Linked DNA regions of Rattus norvegicus. The protein of the gene in region 1 interacts with the protein of each later gene in a biochemical or structural test. Links are inferred from orthologs where the notes say so. Each region holds a gene or a part of one and is shown in the gene's direction. Other genes may lie near its edges.

Region 1 (3,615 bases):
TCTGACGGCTCTCGCCTCACTGGGTTTGGGGGTGACTTGGGGAGTCTCCTCAAGCCTTGCCCTTAGCAAAGCCTGCCTCGCAGGTCAAGGCCCTGGCCACCGGCCTCTGGCTAAACAAGGACTCCCTCCATCTCCGCCCGCCTCTCCAGGACTGCCTCCGTGCCTGCCAGGAACAGATTGAAGCCCTTCTGGAGTCAAGCCTGCGCCAGGCCCAGCAGAACATCGATCCCAAGGCCACCGAGGAGGAAGGGGAAGTGGAGGAAGAAGCTGGTCTGGCTTGCACACCCACCGACGTCCGAGATGTGGACATCTGAGGGCCACCGGGCAGGCGGGAGTCACCAAGTAGTGGCATCCGCGAAGAGAAAGGAGCCAGCCCGGGTGCTCCTGACGAGGTCCCCCTTGGGGATGTGTTGTTACCAGAAGGGGAAGTTTTGTTCTCTTTGTTGGTTGTTTTTCCTTAATCTTTCTCCTTTCTATCTGATTTAAGCAAAAGAGAAAAAAAATACCTGAAAGCTGTCTTAAAGAGAGAGAGAGAGATAGAATTCGCATCACCCTGAGTATAGGGAGACGGGGGGGTGCTACAAAAATAGAATTCTGTACCCCAGTAATCAACTAGTTTTCTATTAATGTGCTTGTCTGTTCTAAGAATAGGATTAACACACAGGAAGTCTTGAGAAGGATTTTTGATTCTTTTATGTGTTTAAGAAAAAAAAGCTTAAGAAACATTGCTTTAAAAAAAGAAGGAAAAAAAATACAGCAAACCATTGTTAAAGTAGAAGGGTTTTAGGTAGAGAAATGTACTCTGCTTTGCTGAAAAGGCACAGCTTTGGCAAGGTCCTCAACCTCACTCCCCTGCTTGTTCAGTGCCTACAGCCCTGTTACCTGATGATACCTGTGCTTTATCCCAGGAGTGGGCAGACCTCTTAACCTTACTGATGGTCGATTCGACCTCTAGCGGCCTCGTGGCGTGTGGCACCCTCCAGGGCTCATGTTATGGGCCCTCTGCCCCCCACAACCTGCAGGTTCACAGAGCGCCAGCCAGCCACGCAGCGGTAGGGATGAAATAGTGACATAATATATTCTATTTTTGTAACCTTCCTGTTTTGTAGTTCCTGTTTAGAGAGATGCTGGTTTTTGCCTGGTGGCCCTGCAGCCCACTCACATCAGGTTGAACCCACAGCTTTTCTTTTGTGTGTGGTTTGTTTTGTTATGTTTTCCTTCTCCATGTTCCAAAACCATTCCATTTCAAAGCACTTTTGGTCAGCTAGCTGGAGGCAGTGTTGCTGGGTGTGTGTGTGTGTGTGTGTGTGTGTGTGTGTGTGTGTGTGTGTGTCGGTGGGGGAGGGGGTCTAGTGGAATGGTTGGGGGATGTCCACACACTCAATTCTGATGGCTGCACAGCAGGTGTGTAGGGCTGGTAGCATGAGGTGCTTGGGAAGTTTTGTTGGGTCGAGAAGAGAAAGCTCTGTTCTCGTACCACCGGGATCTTCCTGCAAAGTCGGAGGGATCTTTTGGTGCCAGCTGGCGTTTGGAAGTAGGGACCGTGATGGCATTACCTGGACAAGGGGATTCAGGACGACTCTTAAGTCTTTCACACAGGAGGCTTTTAAACACTAAAATCTCTAATTTATACGTAAGGCTACAGAAGAGTATTTATTGGGAAGGTTGCCCATGACCCGTGTGACTCAAAGCAATGTGATCTTCCCTTGATTCAAACGCACACCTTCTGCCCTGCTGGCGAAGGTTTAGGGCCATGTCTGAGAGACTGGTCTTTTATTGGGCAAGTGGGGGTGTCCTCAAAAAAAAACAAACCACAAAGACGGAGATGTGGTCTCCTTGACTTTCCCAACCCAATTGGCCCCATTGGAGAGCCATCCAAACTGAGGAAAATTAGGGGACTCCAAAAGAGTCTTGAGTCTGGCACATTCTTGCCGCCGCTCCCAAGTTAGCAACAGTAGGTAATTTGCACACCTCTGGCTCTGCCTTTCTGTTCAGGATGTGTTGGTGGGAGGTGGAGAGCGGGTGGCTGGAGAGGGGATGTGAGAGAAGAAGTATGGAGGGTAGGGACCACACGGGACAGGCCGCGGCTCCTTTCACAGCGCTGCTACCAATGACTCCCAGGATCCCCGGCGTTCGGAACCAGATTCACGTTGCTTTGTATCTTTCATGTTGTTTTCGCTGCTATTGGAGGGTCAGTTTTATTTTGTTGTTGTTGGTTTGTTTGTTTTTTTTTTACAATGTCATAAACTGCCATGTTCAAGTTTTAATTTCCTCGTAGAAGAGTGTATTTACAGATGCCCTTTTTTGTACTTTTTTTTTTATTGTGATTCAATTTTGGATTAATGTGATTACCGCTGTATTCCCAAAAAAAAAAAAAAAACCACACACACACACACACACACACACACACACACACACACACACACACACACACACAAACAGGTTCCTGTACACAATACCTCATGTATCACCTAGCCATGCATAGGCCTGGCAGGCGGGTGGGGTGGTCTGCCTCCAGGGACCCTGGGACCCTGCTGGGGATCATCCTGTCATGCTGGGCCTTCATTTGATCTGGGACATAGCATCACAGCAGTCAGGGCAACTGTGTTCTGTTAGTTATCAATATTGTTACTTGTAGCGGCCTGTTGTGCATGCCACCATGCTGCTGGACCCGGAGAGATTTGTTCTGAGTCTCTGGTGCATCATTTAATCTGTTAGGTTCTAGTGTTCTGTCTTGTTTTGTGTTACTCACAGCATTGTGCTAATGTAAAGCCAGCCGCAATGCTGTAGGCCCCAGGTTCCCTAGCAAGCTGCCAAACCAAAAGGGTCACCACCAGCTTAGCTGAGGCGTCCCAACCAGGCAGGACCCTTGAGGGCTGCTGTGTCCATGGTGATGGGGTGAAGTTTTGGCCAAAGGGCCAAAGGCTGGTGGATCCACACAGTCTGCCCTGTGACATGAATGGCTTTGAGGGGCTCTGGCTGGTGGTCAGGTTGGCTTTGTGTATTCTGGTTGACACACCATGGCGCTTCCCAGCACAGACATGTGACCAGCATGGTCCAGGAAAAAAAAAAAGACAAAAAAATCTAGAAATAAAATTGGTAAAATCCCAGCTTGCTGTTGTGTATTTTCTTGGCCCTAAGGACAGGAGTCGGGGGTGGGGGGAGGTATGCCATCCTGATCCCAGAGCCATGTGGGATCCAGCCTGTCCTCTGCACCCAGGGTGTTTGGTAGCATCTCTGGCCCTGGCACCAACCTGGGACTCCCAAAGGGAAGGGTGTTCGCGGGTGGCAGCCAAGAGCAGAGTGAGAGCCACTGGCGTCAGGGAGACCAGTGGCGGCCACTGATCAGAAGCGGCTCTCAGCCTGTCGCTGCCAGCTCACCCTCTCGCTTATTTGCAGATGGAAGATCAACAGAGCCGGCGTTCACTGCCCCTCGTCTGGCGCAAATGGGTGTTTGCTCTGGGTGAATCACCGTTCCTAGGTGCTGCCAAGCGCCCAGAGAGCTAATGCTTAGTGTTAGGGCCAAGACCCAAGGTGGCCTTTCACACAGTCCCAGGAGACCTGAGTGACCTGGCTAGACTCCTGTGATGTCCTCTGGGTGGCAGCTGCTCATGA
Region 2 (4,155 bases), on another chromosome or scaffold:
GCCCCTGCCCTGCCGCCCTCCCCAGCTCTGGCGGCCCGGGGCCGAACATAGTAGCCATGGTAGAGGGTGGGGGTCAGGATCTCTTCTGGCAGGAGGCCTGGGAGCAGAGAAAGAAAGAGAAGGCAAGAGGCAGGATGAGGAAGAATGCAGCGGGCACAGACAGGGCTGAAAGGCGATATCTGGAGATATGGGCTAGAAGAGCAGGTGGGAAACTGTAGAGGGGCTGGGAAAGGAGAGGAGATGGTTACGGAAAAAGCGAGCTGGAACTGGAGGACAGAAGCAAAACCAGAAAATACTCTGAAGCGTGCAAGGCCCGGACACCGAAAGCCCTGCCGATCTAAAGTTTGGTCCTGAAGTCTGTTAGCAAGACCAGAGAGAGTCTTGCTTGAGGGGGGAGTCTGGGGTGGGAGATGGCTCACCTCAGGAGTTCACTTAAGCCCCAGGTAGAGTGGAGGCCAGTGAAGCTGGGCAGTGAGCCCAGAATTTCCGGAGGTGGGGGTAGGAAGCATCTGAGCCATACCTTCTCCGAAGCGCTGCTCGCCCAGGCGGCTAGGGTTGGCAAATTCGTACTCGGCAGTGGCTGGGTGGGCGTGTGGCACTGTGCGGCCCGACATGACTGCTGTTGCGACTAGTAGCCCTGATCCCAAGTGTAGCCCCAACAAGATCAAGGCGACCCCTCCAGCTTCAGAGGGAGAGCCAGGACTCAGTCAGAGTGGGGGCGGGGTCTACACCACCCAAAATAGTGCAGAGCGTCTGGGGGATGGGGGAGGGGTGGGAGCCTAAGTCTAGAGTGCAGCTATGAGGGTGTGATCAGCGCAGCCTGGACCCCCTAAGTCCCCTCCTCTGTATACCCTTCAGCTGTCGCATAGGCCTGGAAGAACAGCTGAGGGTCCTGGTCCTAGAGTAAGCTGGGAAGAGAAACTGGTGCGCTGCAGGAGGGCAAGGAGAGGCCTGGTTGGGCCCTTCACCAATTGTACATTCCACATCACCCTTTGTCCTTATCAGTCTCAGGCACTGAGCACATTACTTAGAAAAAAAAAAAAAAAAAGACAATGTTCTATGAGCCACAGAACGTCAAAAATACAAGAAACATTTTCTGTCTTTTTAATGTCAGGGTCTTCTGAACCTAGATCAACTCGGGGTTCCAGTCAGACACCTAGTTCTGACATATTGGTGGTCACAGCTCTCCTCTGGGACTCCACAAAGAGTTAATGTCCCTGGGGCTCAGCCCAGGAAGATTCCAGCCTCTGCCCAGGCCCAAGATAGTTGCTGGCTCAATTCCCCTGGCATGCAAGACTGGAGAGGAGGAGGGGCCCACCAGCAGCTGCTTGGGATTCCAGACCCTGTCCTGGCTCCAGAGAACAAGGATGGGGTGGGTGGGTGCCACTAGGTGTGGACAGAGAGCTAGTGAAACAAGACCGTGACAAGTCACCGGCCAGCTCAGCCCTGCCCCGTGTTTCTCTTTTCTTAGCTCAGTGAGTACTGGGTATGTGTCACCCTGCCAAATCCCTGATCACAAGTCCCCATGAACTGTCGGGGAGCTGGGATAATAAAACCCCTGACATCACCGTTCCAGAAGCTTCACAAGACTGCATATATAAGGGGCAGGCTGTAGCAGCGGCTGAAGGAGTTGACCGGCTAACCGACTCTACACTCATCTAGCCATCATGGACATAGCCATCCACCACCCCTGGATCCGGCGTCCCTTCTTTCCTTTCCACTCCCCAAGCCGCCTCTTTGACCAGTTCTTCGGAGAGCACCTGTTGGAGTCTGACCTCTTCTCTACAGCCACTTCCCTGAGCCCCTTCTACCTTCGGCCACCCTCCTTCCTGCGGGCACCTAGCTGGATTGACACTGGGCTCTCAGAGGTAAGTCTCCCTTGTGCCAGGGCAGGAATACGTATCCTTCCTGGTCTCTCCATTCCTTTGCCCTTTCACCCTGCCTAAGTCATTTTAGGCATGTGCGTGTGCAAAGGTACAGAGAAATGAGGTTACTGTTTTCTTCTTCCTGTGGGCACCTGTTTCTGTTTGATGCTCCTGTTTCCTGGTCCATTTTTCTGTGCATGGTGCCTCTTTCTCCTCTTTCAACTCCTTTACCCACCTCTTTAATAGTCCCAGTCCTGGCAGATTTTATCATCTCAAACTGTAGAGATCAGATAGAAACCCACTCATTCTGGGCTTTTCCTGTCTTCTTTCCTCCCCACTTCCTTTTGATGGAGCTGGATACATCAATCAATATTCTCTCTCTCTCTCTCTCTCTCTCTCTCTCTCTCTCTCTCTCTCTCTTCCTTGGCCTATGACTTTCCGGGTTCCTCGGGGCTGAGACAGTGCATTGACTTCAGTCCATGCCTTAAGAGGACCGCTCTTGGGAAGCCCTGACTTCTTATCTCAGCAGCGTGGGAGATAAGATTAACAGAGGTTGTCACAGATAACACTGTGGTTTAAAAATATTCGCGTGTGAGGAAACAGGAGCTGAGTGAGCAAGGGCTTTGGAAGGACAGAACATTCCAGATCGAGTGGGTTGGAAACTTGGCAGGCAACTGAACAAGAAAAAGGGGGCTTTTGTTTTATAGACAAATGACAAAGCCAGCACTGGGTAGAGAGGCAGCAGATGCCATCCCCAGACCCATTCTTGTGACTAGTCTCCTACTGACCCGTCTTCTTCCCTGTGCCTCTCGGTAAAGTTTGGGACTGATGGATGACTAAGAGGTGTCTTTTGGGTATCACCATGGTGGCTCACATATACCAGTGTCACTAGTCATAAGAGGATTTTTCCCCCAGCAGCCAGGTAGAGGATGGATTACCAGGGCAGGAAGTAAATCTCCTGGACGATGAGCCTTCTCCAGCTTAATGGACATTCTACCATCTTTTCTCCTCCGCCCCCTTGTTATTCTAGATGCGTATGGAGAAGGACAGGTTCTCTGTGAACCTGGACGTGAAGCACTTCTCTCCAGAGGAACTCAAAGTCAAGGTTCTGGGAGACGTGATTGAGGTGCACGGCAAGCACGAAGAGCGCCAGGTGTGTGGACCTTTCTGCCTTCTCTTGTGAATTCATTTAGTGCCCTGCTGGATGCCAGGGACTGCCGCCACCAGCCTCTGAGGCTGGCAGAATTCCAGTCCCCAAACATAAGACTAGATCAGGAGTTATAGATCAATGGCTGGGAAACAAGTTAGGGCTAGATCTGCTGTTAGTGTTGTGGCTGTGCTGAGAGAACTTTCCCCTGGATGTTCCTTTTGATTGCCTTGTCTTGTCCAGTGACGTCAGAATAGCAGAAGAATTCTCAACATTCCCAACCCTCAGCACATCCTAGGCCAATTGAATCTGAAGTTTTAGGGACATAGCTCAGGCATCAACCTTTAAACAAACAAACAAACAAACTCACTCCTTGGGTACTTTCTGTACCCCAAACTGGCAGCCATTGCTCTAGGCACAGTGTGCTGTACATAATGGCTCTGCGAAATGACAGTCACCACGGAGTCGAAGGCAATAAAATCTGTGGCTTTTGAATGTTCAGGATTCCATGCCTCTTCTGCTCAGTTTAATGCTATGCTACTTGGTTTGTCTGCTTTTCAGAGCTTCAGGCTTATGGCTGTGAGGAAGTTAATTGAGATTTGTTTGTGTGGATGCTTGGGGTACTTGGGATTCAATAGGTAACAGGATTAGCATCCACAATTCCTCTTGCATTTTTAGCATTTTTTTTTCTTGACTTCCTAAAAAGGTGTTATGATTGCTTCTTAAAAATTAATGACTTGGGGGGCTGGGGATTTAGCTCAGTGGTAGAGCGCTTACCTAGGAAGCGCAAGGTCCTGGGTTCGGTCCCCAGCTCCGAAAAAAAAGAACCAAAAAAAAAAAAATTAATGACTTGGGGTTGGGGATTTAGCTCAGCGGTAGAGCGTTTGCCTAGCAAGCGCAAGGCCCTGGGTTCAGTCCCCAGCTCCGAAAAAAAGAAAAGAAAAAAAAATTAATGACTTAGGGCCTGGAGAGATGGCTCAGCAGTTAAAAGCACTGACCGCTCTTCCAGAGGTCCTGCATACAATTCCCAGCAACCACATGGTGGCTCACAACCATCTGTAATGGGATCCAATGCCCTCTTCTGGCATGCAGGTGTACATGCAGATAGAGTGCTCATACATAAAATTAAAAAAATCTTAACAA

The links.
Region 2: of the proteins of Ccnd1 (region 1) and Cryab, one has a biochemical effect on the other in vitro, tested with the Homo sapiens proteins (2 studies listed by BioGRID, with this or other methods). The link is inferred for Rattus norvegicus from reciprocal best matches to the Homo sapiens genes CCND1 and CRYAB.

What each region holds. Positions count from the first base shown.
Region 1 is NC_086019.1:209,517,783-209,521,397, reverse strand, and holds the end of Ccnd1 (G1/S-specific cyclin-D1), read left to right. Parts: intron 1-83; coding exon of another isoform or gene 84-149; coding exon 150-314; 3' UTR 315-3,110; downstream 3,111-3,615. UniProt on the Homo sapiens protein: Regulatory component of the cyclin D1-CDK4 (DC) complex that phosphorylates and inhibits members of the retinoblastoma (RB) protein family including RB1 and regulates the cell-cycle during G(1)/S transition.
Region 2 is NC_086026.1:59,990,193-59,994,347, forward strand, and holds the start of Cryab (alpha-crystallin B chain), read left to right. Parts: upstream 1-1,338; 5' UTR 1,339-1,667; coding exon 1,668-1,868; intron 1,869-2,895; coding exon 2,896-3,018; intron 3,019-4,155. Other genes in the region: Hspb2 (heat shock protein beta-2), read right to left, coding at 1-97, 521-614. UniProt on the Homo sapiens protein: May contribute to the transparency and refractive index of the lens. Has chaperone-like activity, preventing aggregation of various proteins under a wide range of stress conditions.